Linked DNA regions of Canis lupus familiaris. Each later gene encodes a partner of the first gene's protein in a complex. Links are inferred from orthologs where the notes say so. Each region holds a gene or a part of one and is shown in the gene's direction. Other genes may lie near its edges.

Evidence for each region.
Region 2: CDK2AP1 (region 1) and CHD4 share a complex: the UniProt entries of both Homo sapiens proteins name them as parts of the nucleosome remodeling and deacetylase (NuRD) repressor complex. The link is inferred for Canis lupus familiaris from reciprocal best matches to the Homo sapiens genes CDK2AP1 and CHD4.
Region 3: CDK2AP1 (region 1) and MTA1 share a complex: the UniProt entries of both Homo sapiens proteins name them as parts of the nucleosome remodeling and deacetylase (NuRD) repressor complex. The link is inferred for Canis lupus familiaris from reciprocal best matches to the Homo sapiens genes CDK2AP1 and MTA1.
Region 4: CDK2AP1 (region 1) and MTA2 share a complex: the UniProt entries of both Homo sapiens proteins name them as parts of the nucleosome remodeling and deacetylase (NuRD) repressor complex. The link is inferred for Canis lupus familiaris from reciprocal best matches to the Homo sapiens genes CDK2AP1 and MTA2.
Region 5: CDK2AP1 (region 1) and MTA3 share a complex: the UniProt entries of both Homo sapiens proteins name them as parts of the nucleosome remodeling and deacetylase (NuRD) repressor complex. The link is inferred for Canis lupus familiaris from reciprocal best matches to the Homo sapiens genes CDK2AP1 and MTA3.
Region 6: CDK2AP1 (region 1) and CHD5 share a complex: the UniProt entries of both Homo sapiens proteins name them as parts of the nucleosome remodeling and deacetylase (NuRD) repressor complex. The link is inferred for Canis lupus familiaris from reciprocal best matches to the Homo sapiens genes CDK2AP1 and CHD5.

Annotation. Positions count from the first base shown.
Region 1 is NC_049247.1:6,517,369-6,522,222, forward strand, and holds part of CDK2AP1 (cyclin-dependent kinase 2-associated protein 1), read left to right. Parts: exon of another isoform or gene 1-37; intron 38-854; coding exon 855-981; intron 982-4,063; coding exon 4,064-4,131; 3' UTR 4,132-4,854. UniProt on the Homo sapiens protein: Inhibitor of cyclin-dependent kinase CDK2. Also acts as a component of the histone deacetylase NuRD complex which participates in the remodeling of chromatin.
Region 2 is NC_049248.1:7,681,084-7,686,368, reverse strand, and holds the start of CHD4 (chromodomain-helicase-DNA-binding protein 4), read left to right. Parts: upstream 1-2,022; 5' UTR 2,023-2,180; intron 2,181-2,759; exon of another isoform or gene 2,760-2,930; intron 2,931-3,046; 5' UTR 3,047-3,124; coding exon 3,125-3,224; intron 3,225-3,500; exon of another isoform or gene 3,501-3,632; intron 3,633-3,926; exon of another isoform or gene 3,927-4,010; intron 4,011-5,285. UniProt on the Homo sapiens protein: ATP-dependent chromatin-remodeling factor that binds and distorts nucleosomal DNA. Acts as a component of the histone deacetylase NuRD complex which participates in the remodeling of chromatin.
Region 3 is NC_049229.1:73,159,026-73,164,485, forward strand, and holds the start of MTA1 (metastasis-associated protein MTA1), read left to right. Parts: upstream 1-2,220; 5' UTR 2,221-2,363; coding exon 2,364-2,775; intron 2,776-3,236; coding exon 3,237-3,304; intron 3,305-5,361; coding exon 5,362-5,455; intron 5,456-5,460. UniProt on the Homo sapiens protein: Transcriptional coregulator which can act as both a transcriptional corepressor and coactivator. Acts as a component of the histone deacetylase NuRD complex which participates in the remodeling of chromatin.
Region 4 is NC_049239.1:54,562,397-54,566,659, forward strand, and holds the end of MTA2 (metastasis-associated protein MTA2), read left to right. Parts: exon of another isoform or gene 1-31; intron 32-47; coding exon 48-145; intron 146-283; coding exon 284-423; intron 424-873; coding exon 874-1,102; intron 1,103-1,300; coding exon 1,301-1,390; intron 1,391-1,692; coding exon 1,693-1,811; intron 1,812-1,913; coding exon 1,914-2,062; intron 2,063-2,249; coding exon 2,250-2,415; 3' UTR 2,416-3,079; downstream 3,080-4,263. UniProt on the Homo sapiens protein: May function as a transcriptional coregulator. Acts as a component of the histone deacetylase NuRD complex which participates in the remodeling of chromatin.
Region 5 is NC_049238.1:34,455,378-34,460,231, forward strand, and holds part of MTA3 (metastasis-associated protein MTA3), read left to right. Parts: intron 1-1,215; coding exon 1,216-1,302; intron 1,303-4,028; coding exon 4,029-4,175; intron 4,176-4,854. UniProt on the Homo sapiens protein: Acts as a component of the histone deacetylase NuRD complex which participates in the remodeling of chromatin.
Region 6 is NC_049226.1:60,511,367-60,516,043, reverse strand, and holds part of CHD5 (chromodomain-helicase-DNA-binding protein 5), read left to right. Parts: intron 1-483; coding exon 484-573; intron 574-1,221; coding exon 1,222-1,359; intron 1,360-1,629; coding exon 1,630-1,738; intron 1,739-3,536; coding exon 3,537-3,669; intron 3,670-4,100; coding exon 4,101-4,296; intron 4,297-4,677. UniProt on the Homo sapiens protein: ATP-dependent chromatin-remodeling factor that binds DNA through histones and regulates gene transcription. May specifically recognize and bind trimethylated 'Lys-27' (H3K27me3) and non-methylated 'Lys-4' of histone H3.

The DNA of each region.
Region 1 (4,854 bases):
CTGCCAGCCTGTCCTGGGGTTCTCTGCCACAATTGGAACGTGGCCACCTTCTGAGGTTGCCATGGAGGCTGTCTCTGGGAGTGGGGGATGGCTGGCCATGCCCCACCAGGCCCTGCTGTCCCAGGAGCGGGAGCGCCAGAAGAAGCAGCGGTGGCGGGAAGACCACCAGGCCAAGAGGCGGCACTGGGAGGGCACTGAGGAGCTGGGCAAGGACAGGAGAAAGGCCCTGGAGGCCAGGAGACAGCGGCAACAGAGGAGGAAGGAGCAGGCGAGGGCCTTGTGGGGGGGCTGCGGGGACCCAGCCTCACTCATTGGGTGCATACTTGGGCCGTGGAGGGGGAGGGCTTATAGAAAAACAGGTTTTTTGGGGTGGGCCCTGCTGGCAGGGGGAGGATGGGTAAGTGGAAACACATTCTGTCCAGATGGTCTTTGGCAATTATTTATAGTTCTCCAGACCCCACGGTATGGCCCACAGCTTGTCCACTGTCATTCCCCTGGGATGGTGCATCCACCTGGATCCTAGGAAGCACCCAGTACTTGCTGAGACAAACCAGTCCTTTTACTCATTTAAGATGATTAAAACCTTCTGGAGGCTGCTAGTGGTTTCCTTGAGTGTAGGAGGACAGTAGAAAGGCCCAGGTTTCTGGTCAGTGGTTATTTCTCAGCGTGTGGCCGGTTCCAGCAGAGGCAGAAGCTCTGGGAACCTAGGCCAGGCTGCCCTGCCTCCAGCCACTGCCTCTCGGTGGGCTTCTCCCTGTGCCCTGCCCTCGCTGTGGCTGGCATGTGGTAGGGTCCTGACCGTGGCCTTAGGATCAGGATAGGGTTCAATCCATTTAAACTTCTTCTGATTTTAGGGAACTGGGAACAGCCAGGTACCCCAAAGCAAATATGCTGAGCTGCTGGCCATCATTGAAGAGTTGGGGAAAGAGATTAGACCCACCTATGCAGGGAGCAAGAGCGCCATGGAGAGACTAAAACGAGGTAAGTAGCGGGATCCAGACACCCCCTGCTGGGTGCTGCCTCCCTGCTGGGTGCTAACTGTTGTGAGAGGTTTCCAGAGGGGGGCGTGAATGCTCTATGCCCCGTGGGGCTCCTGTTTGGTTAATCTGTGGAAGCATCAGCAGGGGCAGGAATGGGCCGGTCATGGGGTGTAGACTGTCCTTGGGATCTGACGGGAAGGCTTTGCGTGCTCCTTGGGAAGGTCCATGGGCTTTAAGAACAGAATCTTTACAGGCCAGATCCTGTAGCTTTCTCTGTTGCTTGCTCTGCTCCTGTTGGCTGGTACTGGTCCCAGGGAGCCGCAGGAGGACAAATGCACCAGGCTTCCTTCTCTGAGTGGGTCAGGGACAAGAAGTAGCCAGGTCCTGGGTCCTGTGTTGCCCTCTGTTGTCAGCTCTTTGGAGCGGAGCCCAAGAGGCCAATGGGTCTATCTTAGTCTGGGAAGGGAGAGCAGGAACACTGAAATTCCTTCATGATTGAGGATGGAAGGGGGGGTAGGAATATGGTGTCACAGAAAACCAGTGACTCATGTGAAGATGTGACTGACCAGCTGATTCCAGGGGGAGGTGAAATCGGCTGCTACCTCAGGAAGTAAATGGGGTGGAGGGAAGAAGATGATTTCTGTTTTAGAAGGTGGCAATTCGGAGCAGCAGTGGCCTAGGTACGAATTTAATTTCAGAAAGGATCTGGCGTTTATTCAGAAGTTTGGAGAGGCAAGTCTGAAGTTAACCTGGGATGTAAAGAGGGGCTGCTGCGGAGGCTGTGACCCTACCGTGGTAGGCAAGGCTCCTGCCCATAGCAGTGGGCTTTGCTGCTGTTTACCAAGCTTTCATGGACAGATTGGCTGGCTGGCCGGGTGCTTTTACTCCTTTTACTGAGGAAGTAAGGCCTGACCTGGGGGAGGGGAGCTGACAGAGGCTGGACCCCGAGAGGGCTTGATAGAGGTGGGGTTAACCCCGACCCACCCCTGGGGGGCCGGTGGGCGTCACTCTGCATCTGGGCTGCTGTTTGGAGTCAGGGGAAGCAAGACAGTCCTGGCACCTGGAGTCATGGTTACCTGAGTGAGAACCCCTGGAAAGATGCTGGACCTTAGGACACCTGGGTGGCTCAGCAGTTGAGCGTCTGCCTTCGGCTCAGGGCGTGATCCTGGAGTCCCAGGATTGAGTCCCATATTGGACTCCTTGCATGGAGTCTGCTTCTGCTGTTTCTGCCTCTCTCTCTGTGTCTCTCATGAATAAGTAAATAAAATCTTTAAAAAAAATTTTAAAAAAAGGTACTGGACCTTGAAGTCGAACAGGCGATTTGCAGTCACCAAAAAGAACCAGTGGTTCAGGTTAGCCTATGGATATGTCTAATGACCACTCTGGGACATGTGTCCCATGAACAGCTGGTCACCCAGTCACACTAACTAGTAGCCAAGTACAAGTTAGCTAAGTTTATGTCCTAACAAGGTGAAGAAGAGTTGTAAAAGGTATGATGGACTCAGGTGCATTGTTGATAGGTCAGCAAACAGTAACTGGTAGGCCAAGAATGATTTTTAGTTTGTCGTTTTCTTTTTTAAAGATTTTATTTTTTCATGAGAGACACACAGAGAGAGGCAGAGACATAGGGAGAAGGAGAAGCAGGTTCTGCACTGGGAGCCCGATACAGGACTTGATCCCTGGACTCCAGGGTGATCACGCCTTTGGCTGAAGGCAGACGCTCAACCGCTGAGCCCACCAGGCGTCCTTGGTTTTTAGTTGTTAATGGTGGAAAATGATTTTGTGACAGGTGGAAATTATCTGAAATTCAAACTTAAGTGTTCATAAATAAAGGTTTATTGGAATATGGCCACACCCATTGCTTATATAATGGCTGCCTGAGTAGTTGTGACCGAGACCATGTGACCTGCAAAGCCTGAGATTTACTGTTTGGCCCTTTCCAGAAAAAAGTCTTCTGAAGCTCAGAGATAAGATTTGTGAGATGTGGATGCTTGCGTGACTTTGGGGATGTCATTCACAGTGCCCTCCGGCAGTCATCTCTTAGAGGGAATAGATTTTTGATATCTATTATTTATTTATTTTTAAAGATTTTATTTATTTATTCATGAGAGACACAGAGAGAGGCAGAGACACAGGCAGAGAGAGAAGCAGGTTCCATGCAGGGAGCCCGATGTGGGACTCGATCCGGGGACTCCAGGATCATGCCCTGGGCTGAAGGCAGGTGCTCAACCGCTGAGCCACCCAGGCGTCCCTGATGTCTATTAAAATGAGATAAGTATCTCATGGCGTTCACTAAAGGCCATGACAAAAAACAAAAAGAAAAAAACACAGCAAACAAACCCAACAACCAAACCAGAGATAAAATATGGGTAGGGGAGTAATAGAGCAGAAGATGCTCTATGCACCTGGAGGGCAACGTCCTAACGGATACGGTTGAACATAAATGAGCAGTCCTTTTTTTTTTTTTAAGATTTTATTTATTTGACAGGAAGTGAGAGCACAAGCAGGGGGAGCAGCAAAGGGAGAGGGAGAAGCAGGCTCCCAACCCAGCAGGGAGTCCAATGTGGGGCTCAATCCCAGGACCCCAGGGTTATAACCTGAGCTAAAGGCAGACACTTAACTGAGCCATGCAGGCACTCCTAGGTGAGCAGTCTTGCATCCTAACTGTGCAGCCTGGACATTGGACAAGCCCTTTCTAGAACTTAGAATATGAAGAAACCAGAGAAAAATATGATTTGAAGTCATGGACTCTGCAGAGTGGGTCCGGCCTAACGAAAGCGGATGGAGACACATCTTCCGTACTCTGACAGCATGACATGCAGAGAGAGCTTGCTGGTTGTCCCTTTGTGTGCAGGAAGGGATTGTTAGGGAGCCATGAAGAGGAGTTTTGGCTAGGAGGCAAGGGCCTTTCAGGAGGGACGAGATGCTGGTGTGTTTCCAAACCGCTGGAATCCCGGGGTGGTTTGGATGCAGGTCCTGAGTTCTTTCCAGGGCCAGGGTTTTTCAGCTGGGTTGTGAAGGGGGGCCCTCTTCCTCTTCTGGAATGGGTTCTGCTGGATGATTCTCAGCCTCTTCTCTTCCAGGCATCATTCACGCCAGAGGACTGGTTCGAGAGTGCTTGGCTGAGACGGAACGGAATGCCAGGTCCTAGCTGCCTATCAGCGTGGAAGGTTTTCCATCTTCTTCCAAGACCAGAAGTTACAGCTCATCTCCCATGTTCAGATGAAACTCTTGTTTTCAAAATGGTAACAGTTTGGTTTCTCCTTCCCGTGTCCCTCCCATGGTTCATGAGGCTCTGAGATTGAGAAATACTTTGCAGTTGACTAGGATTTACATTTATATAGGAATTACCCAGGGTTTTTTGTTTTTATTTTTATTTTTATTTTTTAAGCATTTTTATTTTTTTGTTTTCTTTTTTTTAAGCATTGAAAGATGCACGTAAAAGATCCCTATCTCACAGCAGATATCCCAGCTCCTTTCATCCTCTTTTTGGAGTACACTTAAGTTACTCAGATTGTTTTACATTATCTTTCATAAGCTAATACAACTCTGAGGGTTTTGTTTTGAGTGCATACGTTTGCCACATGGTGTGGATTCTGCTTAATGTAACTTCTTTTGAGCTTAATGAAGCATTTGCTTGCATGACTATTAGTGCTTTGAGGTCAATTTAAAAAATGCACAAGTTATAAATACAGAAGAAAGAGCAACCTACCAAACCTAACCTAACAAGAACTCCCCCTCCCCCAGCAAAATTTTCCTACTAAGACTGTGTGGATTTCAGTTCTGCTTTTCCTGTACGTTGATCCAAACATCTGGAAGAAAATGACTAAAACTGTTTGCATCTTTGTATGTATTTATTACTTGATGTAATAAA
Region 2 (5,285 bases), on another chromosome or scaffold:
ATTTAGGGTCAGCATAATTTGGTGTTCAAGAATGAGGGTAACAATTCTGGTGTGTTAAGAGTCTCTCAAGAAGGAGGCACATGATAGGATATTATAGGATTTCAGAAACGCTGGATAGATGGACATTGCTTTCCAATCAAAATCCCTTAGTGTGGTAGGGAACAGAGAGGAGATATCTTGGCCACCCATCTATATCATCCTTTTGGAATACCTTCTAGCCTATAGAAGGACTATCAAGAACCTCTGTTGGGATCTGATCTCTCCTGAGACCAGTTGGGATTTATTTTATTCTCTGTAACAGGAAATTGGGAAATAGCACTGAGCAGTGTTCCCTTGACACCAGACATTCTATCTTGTCTCATTGTTTGATGAAGGGAGGCACCTGTGGTTCTTGCATTCCCTGTGGTGCCCACCTTGGTGCCTTACTAGGTATGCTGGCAACATCTGTTAAATGAACATGATATATTATATATATATATCCTCATGTCACATCATGGTGGGATGTCCATCCATGGGAGTGGCCCAGGTGTGTTGCACCATCTGACCTGGAGAGGTAGGATGAGGTGGGAGAAGGACTGCTGAAATGTTGAGAAGTAGGCTAAAGACTCCTTTCTAAAGATTGGAGTTTATTATGACTAGGGGAAGCTGTGGGGTGAATTAAACTTTATGTAAATGGTTCATCTGGTCAGCCTGGTATTTGGCTGGTCTTACTCAATATTTAAGAGCTGGAGCTGGAGGTAAGCATCTGGAGAATAACTGGATTTGGGTGGGATTGGGTGGGGCCCTAGGTTGACTGGCAGTTCCTGAGAGTCTAGAAATGGTCTGAGGGAAGGTAGGGCTTGCCCTAGACATCAAGAGGTTTTATGCCAGGATACTGCTTTGGCCCAGAAAGGGATAAAGGTATGTACAAGTTGGGGTGGGCACAGGGCAGTGCGGGTAGCAGCCTGCTTCACAACCTTGTGGCTCTGGGTGTTAGAATAGACCTGATGGCCTGAGGAGGTGGGGGAGGTATGAATGTGAATATTATGGGATGCCTGGCTGGAAAGGTATAGGGGTGGTGGCTGGCGATGAAGCATTATGGGATGTGCTGGGAGTATTAGAGTATGTCTGGTGGACCTCGGGCTCCTTGACATTATTATGGGATATCAAGGTGTGGGTGGGAGAGTAAAATTATGGGATATCTTTCCAGCGTTAGAGGAAAGGAGATTGGATGTCCATCTGTAGGGTGACAGTGGGGCTGCCGATCATTAGAGGATATCTCTTTGACAGAGAAGAGGTTACTATGGGCTGTGGAGTTAGAACGCATGTATGAAGGCTGAGGGTGGTGGTGTGAGGATCTAGACCCTAGTCTGCAGGGGCTGAGGGCAGCTCAGGCTAGGGGGTTGGTTATTATGGGATGTCAGTGTAAAAGTGGGAAACTGATTATTACGGGATGTGTGTGGGAGGAGGCCGAAGTGTCCGTTGTAGTACTGGGGGGGGGGGGGCGTTGTTTCTGACTATTATGGGATATCAAACTGGGGGTGGATGAAGAGTGGTTATTATGGGATGTCTGTGGGGGATGGGGAATGAGTATTATGGGCTGTGAGGCTTAAGTGCTGGGAGGGGTGCTTATTATGGGATGGCCATGGGGAAGGAGAGGTGACGAATTATTATGGGATGTTAGCATTAGGGCCAAGAGTGAAGAAGTTGGCAAAGGATGGCTATTATGGGATGTCTGAGGTGGGGAAAGGGTTAGTTGCAAAGGTCTGCAATATTATGATATGTCAACAACCTTAGCATATAGGTGTATGGAGTGTATGTGTGTGTGGGGTGGTGGTGGTGGGGTGTCCGTGTGTATTATGGGATGGCCGGAGGTGGGTGGTTGCCCGGGTGACACGCGCGCGCGCGCTCGAAGGGGGCGTGGCCAATGGTTGCCGGAGCGACGAGGGGGCGGGGGTTGCCCGGGAGACCTAAGGAGGAGGGTGGCGGTAGTGGAGGGGGGGTTGGAGTTGGTTGAGGTTATTATGGGCTGTCCGTGGGGGGGCGGGGCCTGTGCGGTGGGATTTCCCGGCCGGTGTTTCGGGCCCTTTAAGAGGCGACGCCGGAGCCGGAGCCATTTTCCCCCCTTCGGCCGCGGCGAGGAGGAGCCGGAGCGGGAGTGACACCGGGCCGGACCCAGCGCGACCTGCGGCGGCTCCGGGGTGAGGAGAGCGCGGGGTTCCTAAAGAGACGCCCCTCTGAGCCTGACCAGCCCCCAAGCTCATCCCTCCATCCACCCCTTCCTCAGATGTCCCGGACTCGCGGACCGCCCCCTGCCCAGAGGAGCCGACCCTTCCTTTTCCTTGCCTGCAGGGCGCCCTGCCCCCCCCGCCCCCGCCCTGAGCCGGCCCGAGTCCTGCCCCCCGCGGCTCCCACCTCGGGCTGGGTCTCCCACAATGCCCGGCGCCCGCCCCCTCGCCCTTTGCTCACTTGCCCCCCGGGACACGTGGCCCGGCCCCCTGCCCGGTGGGCGCTCCCTCGCCCCCCGCGTCCCAGCCTCCAGCCCCCTGGAGCGCCCGAGCCTCCACGCCCCCTCGGCCCCGTGGCTCCTCCGGAGAACCTGAGTTGTCCCAGAGGACAGCCTTTGGAGAGCTGCCCTGTCTGGGGACTGGCCCCTCCCCAGGCGCAGGGAGGCGCCCCCCCACCCCCAAGTGACCTTGTGTCCCCGAGCGCCTCGCTGCCTGCCGCCTCCCCCGACCCCCCCGCGCCGCGGCCACTCGGACCCCCCTCCCCCGACATACCCTGCTCGGTCCAGCCTGGTTTCTCCCCCTCCCCACGCCTGCACCAGCCTGCCCTCGGGGGCGTCGCTCCCGCTCATCTGGGGGGCTCCAGTTGGGGAGCCGGCTTCCGGGCTGCCCTCGAGGAGTGTGGAACTAAGTTCAGCCTGAGTGGTTCGGGTGCCCTGCTAGGGTGGCTGGGGTTGGGGGGGCCGCTTTGGTGGTGGGCGGAAAGAGCGGGTGGGTGTGGGGGAGGGGGACAGTGCGCGTCACTGACTGTTCTCTCTTTCTTCCCCCCCTCCCCCGCACAGTGACTCGGGCCAGTGTAGAGGGCCCCAGGCCGCAGGCAGGAGCAGCTGGGCCAATTCCCTGGCCGGGAGCGGAAGGGGATGGCGTCGGGCCTGGGCTCCCCGTCCCCCTGCTCCGCGGGCAGCGAGGAGGAAGATATGGATGCACTTTTGAACAACAGCCTGCCCCCACCCCACCCAGGTAAATCTTCCCCAAGGGCCCTGGGCAGGAAGGAGGCATTTGGGCCCTCCCTAGCGACTCTGGTGAGGCAAGGTTGAGTTTCTCTCTCTCCGTGCAGAGTCTGAGGTGGAGGGCATCCGAAGGGAGTGGTTCCCTTCTGCGGAGCTCTTGTGGGAGGGGGTGGAAGCCATGTGCCTCCTGGGCTCTGGGACCGAGATGCAAGCTTGCTGCACTGTCTGTTTTAAGGAATGCTATGCAGTTCCCAGTTGAGGGAGCCCTCTGGTCTGGAGACCTTACCTTGTGTGGGTCCACGGAGGAATGCAGGTGGCTGGGACCCGTTGGAGGCGGGGTGGGGGTTCGGGTGGGTGTCGAGGATTGCATGTTGAAGACCAGCCCGGCATCTGTGTTAGCAGGATCCTGTGGTTGCTGCTGTGGAAAGGAGAGAGGGAGTGCTGGTTACTCTCTATCTGATTATTTTTAGCTTCTGATCAGTTACCGGTTTTCTGTGATGTCTCAACTGTGAAGTTTGAATTGCGCTCCTCAGCTGGGATGTAGAGAGCTTTTAGCAGGCAGATTGCTGGAATGTTTCAAATGGGGAAATGATGGGGGCTTGGGGTAGGATGTCACACCCTGAAGGATATACTAGGGAGGGGCAAAAGAAGGGAGGTGACACCCTGGGCAACCCCCCCCCCCCTTCCCATAGCAAATGGACATGATACAGACTTTTTTCCTAGAGGCTTCTGCTTTGGTGCAGGGAGCCTAGGGTTTGGGCTGGTGTCATGAAGTGTTTGTGTAGGTGTGTTGGGGGTTGTTCTGTGTTTGTGGGTGGCTCCTGGGACTGGCCAAACCCGTATGGTTGTAATCATCCTGCCTGATTGGAGAAGCTCTTGTCTCTTCTCAAATGGTGATTGATGTCATGCATCTGAGTGGATGTCTCTCTCTTGTCTGTCTTTCCTTTTTCACAGCCCGTAGCTAAGTCACCTACTTGTTTCCTTGACCTTTTTTTCAAGCTTCTTTTTTTTTTTTTAAATGTCATTTCTTTATCCTTCTGCTTATCTTTATTTTCGCTTTAATTCTGGAGCCTGCTGGTCGTGTTTTTGTTTCCCATCAAACATCTTTCACTTCTGCCTTCTCTCTCCTTAGCTGTAGCAGTAAGTTGAGGTCTGGGAAAGATGTTCCTACATTTTGGTGTTTTCTAAGTTGGAAGTCTTCAAGTCTTAGTTTGAAACTGAGGCCACTTAGTAAAGGGGTCAGTCTTGTTGCTGAGTCTTCAGCTGTTGGGATGAGAAACTTAGGCTCGAGTCTCATCACTGTGTAGACCAAGGTGGCAAATTTCTGTACTGTTGCCCAAGGTGGGGGTGGGGTAGCAGCATTGGTAACATGATCTGACTCTCTCTGTGAGGGGCGAGAGAAGTAGTAGTGCTGTCCAGCCAATGTTGGTTCCACATTTTGGCTTCCCATTGGCCCCTTGGGCTGGGGCTGCCCCTGTGTTGATTGGGAGCAGTGCAGGCTCCCAGGGTGAACTCTGCCCCAAGCTGTAGCATGACCCAGTTTTTCCACTTGCCACACCCCATTCCTGCCCCTTTCCCAAATCTTCTTTTATGTCTCAGCCACTTTGAATGTTGTCTCTGTGCATTATCTGCTTGAGAAGTTTGGGGGTCTTATGTGGATGGGTGTTCCCTTCACCTGCACGGGTTTGTCCTGGTGTCCAGCTTTCACGGAGGTGAGGAAGATGAGGAACTGAGAGATGTGACTTATTAGTGAGGGGGATGACATGGGGGATTGCTTTGAAAAAGCCTTAAGAAAATGGTTCTTTCTGGTGAGATCCAAGCTGGTGTTCCATTCCCAAGGGAATGGGAGGGGCTTTCATATGCCTGGCCTGATCCTGGGCTGAGTGGGGGGAGGCTGATGGTGCTTTGTCAAGCTTAATGTCTCATATTCCCTAGTATCTGCCTTGCTCAGGAAGGGCGGAGCCAGAAGCATTTTAGGGCTAGTTCTGGGAGTCAGGGGCGAATAGAAGGAAGCATATTGTCCCGCACTGTCCAGGTGCTGCTCTTCTTTTCTTCGTGTGAACATCACATA
Region 3 (5,460 bases), on another chromosome or scaffold:
GCATCTCCCGGGCGCACAGGCTGGGCCCCGCGTGTGCTGATGATCTCCCTGGTGGGCCCCGGCCGTGAGCGCGGCGGGGAGAGCGCCCCGTTGTCCTGCCGGTGGGCCGGGAGCGCCGGTTTTCCTCCTGCCGTTGGCGGGTTCCACGAGCGCCTGCTGCGGGGCGGACCGTGCTCCCGGCTTGCTGGAGACTGTCGGGACGGCGTGGCCCTCCTGCTTCTGCTCCGACGGCCGCGCGGCCTGACCTGCCTTCACTCCGCCGCTGCGATCCTCCCCGTCGAGCCGACCTTGTGTCCTCGGGTCCCAGCGGCTTCCCTCGCGTCTGTGGGGTTCCCGCGTGGTCTCCGCGTCCGCTCTCAGGGTGAACGGCGTGGGCTGGCGTCAGGTCCCCCTTGGGTGTTGGCTGGGTTCAGCAGGGCCCGTCTGGGTCTGGAGGGCTGCCTTTCTTTCCTTTGTTGATTTTTATTTTCTTGCTTGCAGTTGAAAGGGTTTACTTTTCTTTTTCTTTCTTTCTTTTTTTTTTTTTTTTTTTGAATTTTATTTACTTTAAAGAGAGAGAGAGGGATCCCTGGGTGGCGCAGCGGTTTGGCGCCTGCCTTTGGCCCAGGGCGCGATCCTGGAGACCCGGGATCGAGTCCCACGTCGGGCTCCCGGTGCATGGAGCCTGCTTCTCCCTCTGCCTGTGTCTCTGCCTCTCTCTCTCTCTGTGACTATCATAAATAAATAAAAAAAAAATTAAAAAGAAATAAAAATAAAGAGAGAGAGAACACAGGGAGAGGGAAAGGGAGAGAGAAGCAGAAGCAGGCTCCAGGCTGAGCGTGGACCCCGACGTGGGGCTTGACCCCGGGGCCCCAGGATCGTGACCTGAGCCAAAGGCAGACTCTCAGCCCACCACGGTGCCCCTGAGCCTGATTTTTTTTTTTTTTAAGATTTTATTTAATTTATTCATGAGAGACACAGAGAGAGGCAGAGACCCAGGCAGAGGGAGAAGCAGGCTCCACGCAGGGAGCCCGACGTGGGACTCGATTCCAGGTCCCCGGGATCACGCCCTGGGCTGAAGGTGGAGCTAAGCCGCTGAGCCCCCCGGGCTGCCCGAGCCTGATTTCTTTAGGGCACAGGGTTGCCTGTTTGTCTGCAGGGAGCTCGGGGGTCTGCGTCTGCCCAGCGCGGGCCCCGTGTCACCTGAGCCGTCAGGCAGCGGCGCCGGGAGCCCCCTCCTACCCAGCTCTCGCTCACTCACCCTCCGGGTCTTTCCTTTGTCACCCTGGCCTGAGGTTGATCCCCTTACTGGCTGTTTACACGAGTTCATTTTTCCTCATTATGCTGGTTTTTGCTCATCATCTACCATCTTTTTGCTTTGCGTGTTTTCCCATCTACCAAAGCTTAACCCACCCGTCTCAGGCGTGCAGGTCTGAATTGTGGGGAGCACATGCAGGGGTGCAACTGGCGGCTGGGACGCAGCCCCGTGCCCCCCAGCCCCCTGCCTGAGCAGGGATCCTCAGAGCCGCATGCAGGGCCGGTGGGGCTCCTCCTGGGTCGTGTCCAGTGTAGACTGCATGTGAATAACAGCTTTGGTTTATTTACTTATTTTTTTTTAAAATAGATTTTTTACTTATTTATTCATGAGAGACACAGAGAGGGACAGACACAGAGGGAGAAGCAGGCTCCACGCAGGGAGCCCGATGCAGGACTCGATCCCGGGGCTCCAGGACCACGCCCGGGGCCAAAGGCAGCGCTAAACCGCTGAGCCACCCAGGGATCCCCGACAGCTTTGATTTAATTGGTTTTTTGGTTTCTTTGGATGAAAGCTTTAAGACCAATAGGGCTTTATATTAAAACTGCTCTTTTGAGCGACAATTCACGTGTGATAAAATTCACCCGCTCACGAGGCGTACGGTGTGGCCGCGGTCTGTGTTCAGAGTGTTTCCACTGCCGTCAAGCCGACCTCGAGCCCGTCGATGGCCCCCTCCCGTAGAGCTCTCTTCCCCCCCAGCCCGCGAGCGTGGCCCTCTGAGCCCGGCAGCCCTGTTCCCTCTGGGCTGTTAGTGCTGTTGCTCTTTCGTTCCGTGGAGCTCTGTGGGTGCCCATGGCCGCGTCCCATCCGGCTGTGGCCTCGGGCAGCACAGGTGAGCCCCCCCCAGCAGCACAGGTGCGCTCCCTCCTACAGTATAGGTGAGGACCCCCCAGCATAGTGAGCCTCTCCTGCAGCACGGGTGAGCCTCCCGCAGCAGCATAGGTGAGCGCCCCCATCTCCCTGCAGCATAGGTGAGCTCTCCTCTGCAGCACAGGTGAGCGCCCCCCCCCAAGCACAGGTGAGCCCCCTCAGGTGCCTGCAGCAGGTACACAGCAGCAGCAGGTGCCAGATGCTTGCTGGGGCCTCTCCACACGGTGGAGCGGTAGGACCTCTTGAGAGGACGGAGCTGGCCTGGGTCCTGGGGCAAGATCTGTGCTCCGAGTGGCCCTTTGGCTGTGTCCCGGCTGACACGGGCCTCTTGCAGGCCTTCCCTGGGGCACGGGGGACAGCGCGGGGCACCCCTGCTGGGGACTGCAGCCTGGCCTCGTCCTGGCACCGAGTCACCCGCAGCTGCCCCGAGCTACCTGCTATATCACGGCGGCGGCCAGGCTGGCAGCTGGGTGGCCTCCCGGCTGGCCTGGGCTCCGTGGGAGCCGGCCAGCCGCCCCCGTGGGCCTCTTGGGAAATCCCGGGTGCCTGCCAGCCTCCTGGGGACCGATCCCAGGCTGCTCTGGAGCCGGAGGCGAGCTGGTGCCCACATGGTGTGCTGGGGACCTGGCGGGCGGTGGCGGGACCTCGTTCCTCTGGCACCTGACCCCGTCCGCACCCCCGAGAGCCCTGCCTCTGCCCAGGGAGCCCCGGCCTCCTCCGTTCCCTGCCCGGGGCGCGTGGGGTGGGGGGGCAGGTGCAGGCGCCCGGCAGCCCCTCGGAAGCTGTCCTGGGGGAAGCTGCAGTCCGGCTCCCACAGCGTCTGCGCGGGGCAGGGGGCGGGGCGTGTGGACCCTCTGCCCGGGACAGCCCCCTCCGTCCTCTAGGACCCGTGCCCGGCACCCACCAACATGTCTGGGTACCTGTCTGTGCACTAAGGTGGCAGGGGCACCGTGTCCTTCGTTCCCTCCTGTTCCCTGGCCCCTAGAACTGGGCGCGGGTGTGAGGGGGGTCGGGGCTCCCCTGGTCCCCGGGCTCAGTGCTGCGGGGTGACGCACTCTGTTCCTGTTTGCAGACTACGTCTATTTTGAGAACTCCTCCAGCAACCCGTACCTGATTCGCAGGATCGAGGAGCTCAACAAGGTACGTGCATGGGGGGGGGCGCGTGGTGGGGGGGGGCCGCCCGGGGCTTCAGGGCCGGCCCCAGACCCTTCGGTGGCTTTGTTCCCGTGCCACACGCCTACACCTGGGTCCTTCTCCTTGGAGAGCTCTCCGTGGGGTCCCTGTGGCGGGTGTGCTCTGTGGGACAGGGGCGCCCTGTGGGGTCCCCCTGGCCGGGGTCTCCCCGCCCACCTGCTGCCTCTGCCTCTTCCCGGCTCACTCAGGCCCCTGCCGCCCCGCTCTGGGCCCTCGCAGCCGCCCCCCCTCCCGCCAGCCTCCCGCTCTGAGGCGCCCCCGGCAGCACTGGGGAGAGGCAGGAGTGTCCCTGCGGCCGTGGAGTCCCTGGCCCCGGAGCACCTGTTGTCCCCGACTGGCTGTGCTCCGTGAGGCCAGTCCTCAAGGGCTGCTCTCCTGGACCCCGAGCACGGCAGCGTGGCTGGGCATCCTTGGGACCGGCGGGCTGGGGGCGGAGGTCGGGGTGCTGGTGCTCCACGGAGCAGACTGGTGGCAGCCGAGCCCCGACCCCTGTGCCCCCGTTCCCGAGACTCCTGCGCAGCATCTGCCCGGGGGAGGGGGTGCCCCCAGGCCTCCGCTGCACACAGCGTGTGGGGCTGGTCCTTGCAGCCTGGCAGCTCCTGGGAGGCTGGGCCAGGTCTGGACGCGGCAGGGCGAGGGCAGTGACCAGGACGCTGTGGGGCCACCTCCCGCGGGTGCTTGCTGGGGGAAGCTGCCCACGGCCCGCCCGGGCAGCAGGGCCAGCAGGGCACGGGGTGGGCATCGGCTCGGGAACACATGGGGTCGGGCCCGCGACTCCAGTGAGCGGTGGGGAGCGTGGCGGGGGAGCCGGGGGCCCACTGCTGGGCTGGCCGCGGGCAGTGGGTCTCGGGTGGGGCCAGCACAGCCCCTGCCCCTCGCTTTGGCTGTGACGTGGAGAGGGCAGGTGGCACCACCTGTGGCAGCCTGCAGGTGACGGGTCTGCACGGCAGTGGCCACAGCCCGCCATTGGAGCGCTCGGGGTGGGGTCGATGGGCGTCTGCGTGTGAGCCTGCAGCCCCCTTCAGTACTGGGGTGGGGCGGGAGGGACCCTCTGGCCCCCGCAGCCCGCCTCCCCTGCTGCCCGGGGACCCGGGGCAGTCCCGGCTGGGGCCGCTGGGAGCTCGTTTTGTGGGCCCTTCCCTGCTGGGGCCACCCTGCCCGGAGCCCCCAGGCCCCCAGGGCCCCTTGGGCACAGGAGAAACGGCCCCGAGGGTCAAGTCCCCGGAAGTCGGGGCTCGTCTGGGCGCAGCTCTGGCGCAGGGCGGGGGCGGCAGCTGGCTGCGGCCCCTGAGCTCCCGGCTGGTCACCCGGCGCTCCCCGCCCCCCCACCTCTCTCGTGTCTGCTGAGCTCTTCGGAGGTCCTGGAAGGCGTCTGGGCGCTGGCGGCCTCCCCGGGGGCCGGCGGGGCAGGGGCACCGACTGCTTGCTCCAGCCCCTGTGGTTCCAAGGAGGGCGCCAGCGGGGAGCCCCGCGCAGACCCCCGCTGAGCAGGGAGCCCGTGGGGCGCGGCCCCGTGACCCTGAGGTCACGACCTGGGCTGAAATTGAGAGGCGGCCGCCTGACCAGGTGCCCCCGTGGCTGCTTCCAGTTCTGATGGGGAACCAGGCCCCTGGCGCTGAGGTCTGCCCAGCGGTGCGACAGAGGCCTTGATCCACCCCAGGGGTGCTGGAAGGTGGGGCCCAGGGGCTGTGGCCTTTCCAGCGTCCGGACGTCCACCAGGTTCTGGTCCTGAGCGAGCAAGGCCTGGGGGAGGGACGCAGGTCAACAGGGGGACCTGGCTGGCGGGCCAGGAGGAGGGTGCACCGCTGGAGGGCTCAGGTCCGCCGAGCGCCCCTCCCCGGTCAGACGTGCCCCGGCCCACTCGGCGTCAGCGCTCCCTGGGCTTGGCTTCTCCCGCGACCTGCCGGCCCTGGGGTCACTCGAGGCCCCTCTGGGCCGCCCCTGCTGGCAGCCGCCGGCCGGTCGGGGGCGTGCGTTGCTCAGACCCTGCCTTGCTCTTGCAGACGGCCAACGGCAACGTGGAGGCCAAGGTGGTGTGCTTCTACCGGAGGCGCGACATCTCCAGCACCCTCATCGCCCTGGCCGACAAGCACGCCAGTGAG
Region 4 (4,263 bases), on another chromosome or scaffold:
CTCTACCTTGACCAGTTCCTGGTTTCTCCCCACACTGTTCCCATTAGTACTAAGCCAAATCCTAACCAGATCATCTCTGTGGGCTCGAAACCTGGCATGAATGGGGCTGGATTCCAGAAGGGCCTGACCTGTGAGAGCTGCCACAGTGAGTTCCATGGGAGGATTGGGATGTTGTGGGTGGGGGGGGGGGGGGGGGAGGTGAGGTCCTCTCTGGCCCAAGGACCTGAGGGACTCTCGTGTAGTATTTTTCCCACACTGCCCCCTTCTCTCCATGCTCCTACAGCCACACAGTCTGCCCAGTGGTATGCCTGGGGCCCACCCAACATGCAGTGCCGCCTCTGTGCTTCTTGTTGGATCTACTGGAAGAAATATGGGGGACTGAAGACCCCGACCCAGCTTGAGGGGGCTGCTCGGGGCACAACAGTAAGGAGTGGTGGGGAACAGGCAGGGCAGAGCAGTAAACATATCGATGTGAGCTTTAGGGGAAGGCCAGAGCACCCAACCCCTTCCATGGTGATGGTTTGATGTGGGTATGGGTGGGGAGGGGGTGCCCCGTGATGGTTGGAGACTGGTAGGTTGGGATGGTGATAAAGAGTTCAGGCAGGAGGGATGCCTGGGTGACTCAGTGGTTGAGCGTCTGCCTTTGGCTCAGGGTGTGATCCCGGGATCGAGTACCACATCAGGCTCCTTACAGGGAGGCTGCTTCTTCCTCTGCCTGTGTCTCTGCCTCTCTCTCTGTATGTCTCTCATGAATAAATAAAATCTTATGCTAAATAAGATTTCAGGCAGGAATAAATTGCTTTTTGCAGAGAACAGAAAAAAGGGAGCCTCAGTGACCATCTGTGTTCTCCCTTTTTCCCATGTCTCTTTCAGGAGCCACACTCGAGGGGTCATCTGTCTAGACCTGAAGCCCAAAGTCTCTCCCCCTATACGACCAGCGCCAACCGGGCCAAGCTGCTGGCTAAGAACAGGCAAACATTCCTGCTCCAGACCACAAAGCTGACCCGACTGGCCAGACGCATGTGCAGGGACCTGTTACAGCCGAGGAGGGCCGCCCGACGACCCTATGCCCCTATCAATGCCAATGCCATCAAGGCAGAGTGTAAGGGCAGGAGTGGTGGGGTTAGTGGCAGGTCAGGATACTCTGGCTGGAAAGCAGAGCAGAGACCAGTGTTTCTCTGGATGTTTAATGACAGGGATACCAGGCCACAGCGCTTGGGTGGGAGAATAGATGTGGCTCCTGGCCATAGGAGAGGCCTGAATAGCGAAGCCCTTTCGAGTTTTCCTCTTTGTTCTTCAGGCTCCATTCGACTTCCTAAGGCTGCAAAGACTCCATTGAAGATTCACCCTCTGGTGCGGCTACCACTGGCAACCATCGTCAAAGATCTGGGTAGGTTAGGGTATGAGGAACCCGTTAGGTGGTTTCAGGCTCACGTGGTTTCAGGCTCACAGTCATCTTTTTACCATCAAAATCCAAAGAGATTTAGTTTAATAGTTTAACAGCTGGTACTTTTGTATGTTAATAATGGTTTTCATAAGCTATCCATAGTGAATGCTAAGATCACACTCACGTGATCCTTGCTTGCCAGATCCCTCCCACCATCACTGCCTTTGGGGATGCCCAGGGAAACTACATTGAGAATAAAAAGCATGAAAGTTCTAAGTTTTCTCTTATTTTTTTTAATCTGGCAGTGGCCCAGGCACCTCTGAAACCAAAAACACCTCGGGGTACCAAGACCCCAATCAACAGAAACCAGCTGACCCAGAACCGGGGTCTGGGGGGTATTATGGTGAAACGGGCCTATGAAACTGTGAGTTAACAGCGGGAGTGGGCAAGGCTGATTGGGTGGGCATTTATGTCTGATAAGGATCCATGAGTCCACTCTCATTGTGTGCCCCCTCCCCCTTTCCAGATGGCAGGAGCGGGGGTCCCCTTTTCTGCCAATGGAAGGCCTCTTGCCTCAGGGATTCGCTCAAGCTCACAGCCAGTTGCCAAGCGTCAGAAACTAAACCCAGCTGATGCCCCCAATCCTGTGGTGTTTGTGGCCACAAAGGATACCAGGTACAGAGCCCACCATGGGAGGGGCTGAGAAGTTGAGAACCCACTTTGGGGGGTAAGGATAATAGTATTGGTGTGGGATGGGGATGTCAGGAAAGAATGGGTCCGAAGGCAGAACTGGATTGTGGAACGTGGGGTTTCACCTTGAGAGCCTTAGCCTTCTTTATTCTATTCTCCTTTTCCTGGCCAGGGCCCTGCGGAAGGCTCTGACCCATCTGGAAATGCGGCGAGCTGCCCGCCGACCCAACTTGCCCCTGAAAGTGAAGCCACCACTGATTGCAGTGCGGCCCCCAGTCCCACTGTCTGCACCCCCACATCCTGCCAGCACCAATGAGCCCATTGTCCTGGAGGATTGAGCATCTGTGGGGGAAGGGAGGTGGCTGAAAGCCAGAGGGTGGGTGCCCAGGGCATCCAACCTCCCTTCCCCTCTAGTAGCAAAGGGAATGAGGAGTGAGGGAGGGAGCAAGTGTTTGTCCTTGGAGGGGTTGGGCGCCCTCTGGTGTTACCACTTGGAGGCCTGTCCCCTTTCCACGTTTTCTCCACTTCTGGTGGTGGAGGGCACACTGCAGGAACTTGACCCACTGTGGGAACCTAACCTGTTTTGGGGGTTAGGACCCACAGTCGTCTTGGACAGTTTTGGGGGGAGGGTTTTTTAATTTTTTAAAAATTTTGCCTCCCTTTGTGAAAACGGGATGGGGAGGGGAAGGGTAAATTGACAGGAGGTGGTGGTAGGGGGAGGGGGGCGTGCACTGCCATGACTGCCATGTCTATCCTTTTTTTTTTTTTTTTCCTAATGGGGGTTTCTCTTCCTGTCCGGTGTCCGGACTTTCCTAATTGGAGTTTGAGGCCCCTAAGCTGGCATCAACCCCAACCCATGTTCTCTATTCCTTCCCTCCCTGTGCCCCCTCCGCCTTTTGTACGCCAATTCTCAGAAATAAAGATCTTTTGTCCATTTTTTTAACCTCGGATTCTGTAATTGGTTCTTATAGTAACAAATAAAAAGCTGTTTTCTTCAGCTTCTCCTGGCTCAGCTGTTCTCTGCCATGGGTGTGTGTGTGGGTGTGTGTGTGGGGGGAGGACAGTGACTTAAATTGGAAAAATAAAGGACAATGGGTGATAAAGGAGATACAGATGGGGCTTGCCTGGGAACAGCTTTAGGAGCTAGGCAGCCTGTTCCGGCTAGCTTTCTCGTGGGACCCAAACTGCTCCCCAGCTCCCTGTGGTGCTGGAACCCAGGCTCCCTCTTGGCACACAGATTGAGAACGGTTGGAATGGATGGACCCTGGATGGTTGGTGGCTTCCACAGGAAGGGAGGTGGGAAGATGCTTTTTCTTCTATTTTCCAACCCTTAACCTCTCTTTTAGGAAATTCTGGGAGTTGCTAGAGATCAGGGCAAGATGTAGCCTACTTGGGGGGCAGGGTGCTGCACTCTTACCACCCAGCCCTGTGGTATGTTTGCAGATTGCTGCTTCAGGGATTCCCAAGACCAGCCTCAGCACCTGCCTTGATATTGAGGGCACGCTCTAGAGCTGTCTCCCGCCTTTTTGGGTTTGGGAAACAGAAGTCTGAGCAGGGTCCAACAGGAGGAGCACCCTTACAGAGTGAACAAGAATTAAGCCTATTATGAGTTCCTTCCACGCACTTCCTTGAAGATAGGGGACAGCCTCAGCAATCAGCACTTCCTTAAGGTCACAGACCTTGAGCTGTCTGCCTCAGGCCCAGTGTGCTTTCCACAGTCTAGAGCTGCGGACTGATAACCACAGCAGGAGCTGCTCAGACCCTTGAGAGTCCTCTCCAGCTCCCTTCTCGGCCCCTGGGGCCTCCCCAGCGACTTCGCTCTCCCCACTCTGAGCTTCCACCTCGACAGCATCAGGAACTGCCCGCTACACCAGTCTGGGGAGAGGGGGAAAGTAGCATTTTCTCCCTCCAAGGTCTTGGCTCAGTTGCCACCAGCGCAGGTTCTGCCGCATGCCTTGAAGTGGGCCGGTGGCTCCGGCTCCTCATGGCAACACTCCACGCAGTCAACTAATGCAGGAGGGAAACGTGACTCACCGGGACCGCAGCGATCTGGCCGTGGTTGAGCGGAGTCCGCGAGCTGCCCGGTGGGGACAGAGCTCCCCGACCAGGGCGGGGAAATGGTCGCATGACACCCATTGAAGGGAGGACCGAGGGCAGAGGGAGAAGCCGCAGCCCTAGGGAACTCG
Region 5 (4,854 bases), on another chromosome or scaffold:
CTCTTTCTGTTTATTTTTTATTTTTATTTTTTTTTTCTCTTTCTGTTTAATAGTAAAATAGTTTGCTTGGTGAAAGAGAGGGCAAGAGCTTATGAAAAAGTTAATTTTTAATTTTAAATGATTTGCAGTTCCACAGTGAATTGTACATTTTGACACTGATAATGCAGAGAAGTCCTGTGGATGTCAAAGGAAATTTCCTGTGTGCCTAGAAATGTGGTCTCAGCCATAGAAAGCCTTTAGGACATTTTTGTCAAGTATTGGAAGGTGGGGAAAAAGGCATACGCGTAGCAAAATAATATCTGTTAAAACTACTCTGTTAAATTTTATGCAAATTTAAAAAACAGTTCAATATTTTTTGTGTGTGGTCCCCTCAAACTCTGTTTTTGTAACTTAGCTTCTCAGTGTGAAAGCAGCCTTGTTCCACATCTATTCACCCATCCTAATGGCAGCTAATTAAAATGCAGAGAGAGTGTGTGTTGTATGCTTTATTTTTCTCTGTCCAAAGTGTCTCATATAGTAGGGTATGAGGTGAGCTTGATAAATGAACACTAATAACCATTCCCACAGTATCTTCCTGTTCTAACAGATGAGGCACCCTGTCTGTACAGGCAACCTCTTAAAACTCAGCACTGCTGACATCATAGTAGGGTGTGAAAGATGGAAAACTAGCAATAAAACCAATGACCCATTTTTAGCCCTGTGAGGCTCTCATTTAATGGAATTGAGTTTAATCAAGATAGATTAAGACTTCTCAGTGGAGACTTACTTCCTCTAGGTCAGGGGTGGCCAAGTGTGTTGCCTTTGTCAGCTTTGTCATTTTTGTGTTCTATGCCAGATTAATCTTAAATTAGGTCTGTTTTCACCTCATCCTGCATGGACATTTTTTCTACTTTGAGGAAATAATGCCATGCCTAGAAAGGAAGCATACTTCCACTTTTTCAAATGGGGTCACACAGAAAGAAAGCACATACGTGTAAGACGTGTGTTAGCAGCACTCAGATGAGGCTTTAAGTGAGTGTTCTCCAGGTACATCCTTCATTCAGTAATTTGGAACCAGAGCTAGAAACAGTTTCCTCCAACCCTACAGGAAATTATGCAGGAATCTGGTGGATATTTTGCACTGTCTTCCACTGGCACCTTTTTTTCTGCAGTGTGTATAGAATAGGTAGAGAAATCAGCCTCATTGGTTGTCTCCATGTTTCCTTCTCTCCTCAGATGCAGACAGACATGCCGAACTATCTGGAAGTCCACTGAAAAGCAAAAGCACTAGGAAACCTTTGGCATGTATCATTGGGTATTTAGGTGGGTATTTTCTTACAGAAGGAAAATTTCAAAAAACAATTTCTGTACCTTATAAGTATTTGGCTATTCTAAATTGTCATACCTAAACTAAATCCAAGCCTTTCAAGTAGCTGAAATTGGATACTTTCACATGTATAGTCCATTTATTTTGTTTCAGAAGCTTTTGGGTTTTTTTTCCAAAAGCTTTTATTTGTTATTACAAAACATATACACACAACATGTATACAGAGTTATGGATATGTTTACTTTTTCCAAAAAAAATCATTAAATAAAAATATAACATTTGTGGATATAAATAGAAACTAAGCAAAAAGAGGAAAGAATCACTAAATTATTAGAGGATGAATATTCTTTTTTTTTTTTTTTTGAGGATGAATATTCTTAATGTTTCAATTTAGATCCTTCCACTTGGCTTATTTTTTTTAATGAGATCAAACTGGCTCTAACCTACCTTTAAAAAAATATTTATAGGTTTGATGTACCAATTAAAGTTACTTTGAAAGGGAAGCATTTGTATTGCTTTCTGATTTTTACCATGTTATTTAACTTAGAACTAGTCAAAGATGTTGGCTCCATATTTGTGTTGAAATATCACAATTAAGAAATAGTATTTTTAAAAATCAATAGGTAATAACCCTTTTTGTTTTGTTCTGTTTTGCAAAGTTTTAAGTTAATTTACAAAATAATTATTTCTAAAATGGTTCCTAATATCCCTAGAAACTATAATAGCATGTTTTTAGTGCTTCTAATATCCTTGCATTTTCATTTTCTCAGAGTGAAAGGTGTACTCAAAGTTGCATTGAAGCTTATTGCTCTGTCAGAAAGATGTACAGTTATGAAGCGTTCAGACTCTAGAAACACTTAAAAGTCAAAGTGTAGCCTTAAATTGGTATATTATCTACTCCTCATCAGAGCATCCAAAAGTCAGAAGCTCATAGCTCCCTCTTTGATTTTACTTGGTCACTTTATTTCTTGTTTTATTTCTCAGAGCCTGAAGAGTTGTTTCAGTAGTCCCGAGAATATCACCTCATCATCATAGGCAGGACCTAGGTCATGGTGACCAAGTCCTTGAATTTTGCTATCTATTCCCTTGAAGAGCCTAATCCTAGAAGCCCCTTCCCTCCATGCATGGACAAGTCTCTGATCATAAGAAATAGAATATAACATTACATATTAGCCAGTCTTTCTGTGGGTAATTTTGTGTTCCTCCTGCGGGCAAATTGGTCTCTGTACCTACCTGGGAGGCCCAAAGCTATGCTTTACTTACTAGCTGAACCACACCTCTACCTCACATATTTCTGAGTGTTTACTATGTATAAGACATAGTAAACATAGTGATTTGGGGGAACATCAAGATGAGTAAGACTTTGTCCTCAAAAGTTTTATTCTAGTGGGGAAAGCACACAGGTAAGGACAATTAAGCAAAGGATTAGCTCCTATGAAAGAATTACAGGTAATATTCATTGGACACTTGGAAGAAGGAATAGTTATTTCTGATGAGATTTAGGGCAGCCTACGTGGAGAAAGCAGTGTTTGATCTCAACCTTGAACAATAAGTAGTATTTAAATAGAAAAACAGGAAAAAAGAATATTTTTCCCTTTATGAGGCCTAAAGAATTTGATGCACAAAGGCTTCAGTGAGTCCAAAGGTGGGTGGTCTGGTTTGGATGAATAGTGTGGAGGCTGTAATGAAAAATGGGGTTAACAAAGTTTCAGTGCCGTGTTGGAAAAAAAAAAAAAAAAATCAGCACTATATGTTGGTTAGCACTTGATCCATTCCTAAATTTTGATAAGGGTAGAATTTTGACCAGACCAAGATATAGTAATTCTAACAATCCTAACAGCCTTTCTTAAATTTCGATAAATAAGGCTGATTGCCTGGCCCTCCCTGAGAAGAGAGAGTGGTTTAGAATCAGAGAGCAGGTTTAATTTTGGAAAAGACATTGCCCAGTAAGAGTAACAGACTGAGATCCTTAAGTCCAATTCCTACAGACTGTAATTTCTGTCCGTCTGCTTTATCCAAAAAAGTACAAGTAATTCTGGGCTATATGACTGACAACAACATACTTCATGTAAACACACATATCCCACATGCACATCACAGTTTTGTGATATACCCTCCATCAAAGCTTTTCTTCTACTACATCTTGAGTCTAGAATTTGGAGTTTGGTGGCATGTTTCATCTATATCAAGATATTCTGGACTAGTAGTAATTAACCTTGGTCCTGTACTCTCCTTGTAGAGTCAGAGAAGGAATCCTGTTTTCCAGAAATCTCTCACACCCTAGACATGCTGCATGCTGCGTTTCTGGTTTGATAGAGCATAGAGTTAGCTTTCTCTGAGGCCATTTCTCCAGATAACCTTTAAATTTCTAAAACTTTGAAGAGTTAGTTGCCTAATTCCCTTAGTATATCTGTGCTTAAGTGATCTTCTGAAGTGGAAGTGGTGTTTTTGTTGTTTTGTTGTTGTTGCTTGTACTCCCAACATGAAGCTCAGAGCTCCAGCTAGCAGAGGGAGAAGCAAGCTCACTTTTGATAAGTAAAGCCATGGTAACAGCACTTGAAGCTGATTCATTATGCAAGTCCTTGGGAAAACAGACTGGCTCGTAAGGAACGGACTCTCACCTCATTAAGAAGTAAGATGTGTGCCTATTAGGCGATGTAAGTGCACACAGAGATTTTTATTACCATGTCCTGAGTTGAGAAACCTTTTCTCCCCCTGCCAGAGATCCATCCTTCGAAGAAACCTAATGTAATTCGATCTACACCAAGCCTGCAAACCCCCACTACCAAGCGGATGCTAACCACCCCGAATCACACATCTCTGAGCATTTTGGGGAAAAGGAACTACAGTCATCACAATGGCCTGGATGGTATGTAAGCCCAGGAATTCTGGGGGCTGAGCTCATAGGCCAGGGCCTCTCTGCCCTTGTCTGCTCTAAGCATATCCTCTGCCAAATCCAAGATGTGTTGCAAATGGGTTCGTCTACCTACCCTCTAATTAAACTGAATGTGTGGTAAAGGGGTAAGAGGGAAGGCTGCTGTGTGCCACAGTGAAGACATTTAGCTGAGTGATATTTCTCTATCTCCTCAGAAGGGACCCTTTTGTTCACATTCCCTGTGAGGATGCTTGTTTGGAGAGGAAGTCTGTATTTATCAGGTTGACTCTGGTGGGTGATAATGTTCTTGCTGGGATGCATGCTCACTGCTCCTTTACATTTTCTTGAGCAGAAGTGTTGATTTCACCTTAAGTCAGAGGCAACTGTGATCTCTGGGGGTTCTTGGGTGTTCTGTGGTTCATTTTGGATTTGGCACTTGTCAGCTACTTCTTTCACCTTATAAAATTTTTTTAATTGCTCAAGAGTGCTACAAGTCATGAAGGGAATTGCCTGGGTGACGTCTTCAATACAGAAATAATAATTTGTTTGAAATGGAAAAGCTAAGAAATATCACCTCTTATCCAAAGTACCTCCCTTGGGGTTTGGCCACAGAATGACTCCTCAGGTGGAATTGAATTATCTTCCCATTCGGACTACAAACACAAACATAATA
Region 6 (4,677 bases), on another chromosome or scaffold:
CCCCGCCCAGGCTTCTTCCTGGCATCTGCTCCCCACCTTCTCTTTATGGCATCGACAATTTCCTTTTCTCCTTGTGAGCTCACTGTGTATTTTTCCAAGGTGATAGGTTTTGCCTGACATTTCTGGGTGTTTGTAAGAGGGTTTTGATTTAATGAAGTCCTGCTGTGTTACCAGAACTTTGAGACCTCTAGTTATCATTGTGGTAGGGAGGATATTGAGACTGTGCCTTGAGGAGTTTGGGGGTGGGGTACTGCTGGGGTAGGGGTGAGGGGAAGGGGCAAGCCGACGGTGTCAAGGGGGTCCATGCCCTCTATGCCTGCCTTCCCGGAGGATCCCTCCCTGATGGCACTGGTTGGACTCCTCAGTGAAGTGACAGGTGGGATTCTGTGTGTGGCTGAAATGGAGTTGGAAAGTCAGCAGCCCAGAGTCCGTTTTGTCTGTCTCAGACCTTTCCCTACTCTACAAACACCCTTTGTCTTGCAGAAGAAATGCTTCCTGAGAAGGAGAAAATTCTGGACAAGCTGGAGCTAAGCTTGATTCACAGCAGAGGGGATGGCAATGATTTCAGGCCAGGTTTGGGGCTCTTGTGTGTACTCTGTCCTATGTCCCTTGGTCTCTTGAAGGCACCCTCTCTGGACCTTGCTGGGCCTCCTGCAGCTTCCATGGGTACCACCATCTACCCATTACTCACTTGGCCCAACTGAAGCTGGTGGATGGGAGCCTGAGCCCACCAGCCCCGGGAGTGGGAGTCAGGGTGGGAGGAGATGCCTTCCCCTTTCCTAATCCCTCCCATGGCCCCAGCTATCACCAGAAAGGAGAACTTGTCACAGAGTTTGGCCTGGAGCATTTGGGACTCCCATCAGAGACTTTATGTACCTGTAGGTGCTAGAATGTTCTGGAACACTTGTCACATCAGACCCCCCAGGACAGAACTGCTGTCCTTTAATTTAATATACACTTTCACAGTGCTGTGCCCCGTGTTCCCAGGTCGTCTTGAGTGAGGGAGTGGCACCTGGGCCTGGAATCCCCATCTCTGCTCGGGACAGAAGGAGGGGCTGCTTGCTTGTCTGTTTAAAATCCCTCTTGACAGTGAGCCCATGGAGGATGAGGAGATAGGGTCCCACTTGCCTTTGGGTCCCCAGGCCCCAGTGCTTGGCACAGAGAGGTCCCTGGGTAGCACCTTTCAGATGGGTAAATGAATATGGGTGTGTTCTCCCGTAGATGACACCAGAGTGGAGGAGAAGGAGCCCATTGAAACACAGCAAAATGGTGACAAAGAGGATGATGAGGAGGGGAAGAAGGAGGACAAGAATGGGAAGTTCAAATTCATGTTCAACATTGCAGATGGGGGCTTCACAGGTATTGCGGTGAGGCGGAGGGCAGAGACCTAGTGTGGGTGTTGTCACAGTCTTCCTAACTATGGGAGTCCCAGGAGTCTGGGCAGATGGTTATTTTATACTAAAGTGTGAATGCTTGATAAAAGTGCATTATATAACCTTTCCTGGTAACTGGAACACTGAGCTTCCACGGGTGGGGAGACGGTGGGTGGTGAGAAAGAGACCTTCCTATGCCTGCTTCTGTGAGGGACTGGGGGGCACCTCATTCTGCTCCCCTTGGCTGGCTTCCCAGAGCTACACACACTGTGGCAGAATGAGGAACGTGCTGCTGTGTCCTCGGGGAAAATCTACGACATCTGGCACCGGCGTCATGACTACTGGCTGCTGGCGGGCATCGTGACGTATCCTTGGCCAAGCCAGGCTGGGCAGGACTCTGGCCTGTTCCTCTGTGGACCTCAGGGAGGGACATGGGGTGTGTGGGATAAGGAATCAGTAGCCAGCGCTTCTGATCAGGTGCCGAGGACCCTTTCCTGCTGGTGATGGTGATGATGGTGATAACCATAGCTGCGGCTCATCCCTTTATGCTCAGTGCTCACTCCATCTGCACAGCAGCCTTCCAGGGGGCATCGTTGTTGCCCATCATACAGGGGAGGAAACCATGCTCAGAGAGGCCACGGGACTTACCCAGGGACACACAGCTAATAAGCCATAGCCTACCTGTCTGACCACAACAAATACCCCTAACTCCCACCCGGGACATACTTCACCTCCTTCCTGTGATGACGCCTGGAGGGTGCATCACCATTTGTGGTTGGCTAGCATTCATTCATTCAGTTTTGATTGCTCGTGTCCTATGTGCCAGGCATGGAGGATGCAACCGTGAACATTCCCCAGTCCCTGTCTCCCTGGGGCTCACATCCTGCTGTGGACAGATGGCGAATGCTGTAAGTTAGCCAAGTGTGGCATTCAACAGAACATGATAGGGCAGGCAAGGAGCAGGGGGAGTGCTGGGGGTGACCGTTGCCTTTTCTCATAAGTAGTCAGGGGTCACATTTGAGCAGAGACCTCCCAGAGGCAAGGGGAAAGCCACACAACTGCCTGCGGAAAGCCCCTCAGCAAAGGTGACCTTCATGACAGCCTTGGAACTGGCTGGGAGTGTTCTAGAACAGTGGTCAGCAACCTTTCCTGTAAGGGTCCAGAGCACAAATATTTCAGGCTTTGCAGCGTGATTGCTCTGTCATTGTAGCAAAGGCAGTGATGGACGATAGTGATCCAGTGAGTGTGACCACGTTCCAATAAAGGTTTATTTAAAAAAAATTGGCCGGGGGCCAGTTTGGCCTATGGATCGTAGTTACGATTCCTGTTGTGGAGGTGAAGGTGTTTGGAGCCAGTCTGCCTGGGTTCCAATCCTGACTCTGCCCCTTGCTCACCGTGAGACCTTGGGCGAGATCATTTTATTGAGTTTCCTTGTTCAGTTGATGGCTCCAGGGGAGGATTGTTCCTTGTTCCTCGCCAGCTTCTGGGGCAGCTGTCAATCCTTGGGTCTCTTGGCCGCGAGGTCACGTGGCCATCTTCCCTGGGTGTCTGGGTGTCTGGGTCCAGATTTCTGGTTTTTTTTTAAGATTTTATTTATTTATTTGAATTAGCATGAGTGGGGGGTAGGGGCAGAGGAAGAGGGAGAAGCAGACTCCCCGCTGAGCAGGGAGCCTGACGTGGGGCTCCATCCCAGGACCCTGAGATCATGACCTGAGTGGAAGGCAGATGCTTCACTGACGGAGCCTGCCAGGTGCCCTAGATTTCCTCTTATAAGGAGACCAGTCACTGGATTCGTGCCCATCCTAATCCAGCGTGACCCCTTCTTAACTGGATTGCAGCTACCAAGACTGTTTCCGAACGAAGTCCCAGCCCCAGGTGTGGGTGTTGGGACTTGTTAGGATGAAAGGGTTCAGTCCCCAAAGCTCTGTTGCTCTTGGGGCTCCTGAGGGCCCCTGCTGGTGTTTGTTGATTGTCAGGTTGTCATTGTCAACCTGCTCACCTCTTGGCCAAGGTTGATGACCGACTGTCCAAAAGCACACAGCCTGGGCTGCTGCAGCTGGGATGCTGGCACCGGCTGGCATCGGCCTGGTCCCCACTCGCTCTTCCCTTCCCCCATTCCCTGCCCTCCACGGCTGGGTTTGCCCTTAACGGAGCCACACCCAGGCATGGCTATGCCCGCTGGCAGGACATCCAGAATGACCCAAGATATATGATCCTCAACGAGCCCTTCAAGTCCGAGATCCACAAGGGCAATTACTTGGAGATGAAGAACAAGTTTCTGGCCCGTAGGTTCAAGGTCAGTCCCAGCAGGGCCAGAGCCTGCGGGGCAGGGGTGGGGGGCTGTTGCTGCAGGAGGACAGGCTGCATGAAGGGGGCCTGGGGCAAGGCAGGACTGACTGAGCAGCAGCCCGGCAGCCCCCTCCTCATTTCCGTGGTCCTGGGCCAGGCTGTCCACCAGGGTTGTCCTGTAGTCTGCCAACAGTGTGCTAGGTCCTTGATCTGGGTCAGGCCCCACTGGGTGCGTGTCCCTGCCCCGGGGAGGATGGTGCAGAGAACCCAGATTGCGGAGAGTTCCGGGGCTGGGAGCTCTAAGAACAGCAAGGGTGGACTGATGAGCAGAAGAGCAGCTTCCCTCCTTCCCTTTCACCCATTCCCAGGCCCAAAGGGGTGGGTGCTGGTGGACGGGGGGTCGGGCTGGCACTCAGTCCCTCCTGCCACATCCCCCAGCTACTGGAGCAGGCGCTGGTCATCGAGGAGCAGCTCCGGAGGGCTGCCTACCTTAATATGACCCAGGACCCCAACCACCCAGCCATGGCCCTCAACGCCCGCCTGGCCGAGGTGGAGTGCCTTGCTGAGAGCCACCAGCATCTGTCCAAGGAGTCCCTTGCTGGGAACAAGCCAGCTAACGCTGTCCTGCACAAGGGTGAGTGAGCCTACTTCCTGACGGTGGGCCTACCTGCCTTCCTCCTGCCCTGTGGATCCTTGGCCTTGATGAGGGCACTATGGAGCAGGGGCCAGCCCCATGAGCCAGTCAGGGAGAGTTCAGCCCCTCCAGTCTCTGGACTCTGTCTCAAGGCCCTGGGCTGGGGGTAGGTAACACAGAAGTCTATTTGACTTACACTCTTGCTTATGAGGCCCTGACAATATGCTTTAAACATGTTATCTCTTTAATGCTTGTGATATCCTAAAGTGGTAAGGTTTATGGCCCCATTTTATTTTATTTTTAAAGATTTTATTTACTAGAGCACTAGAGACAGCAAGCACGAGTGGGGGGCAGAGGCAGAGGGAGAAGCAGACTCCCCGC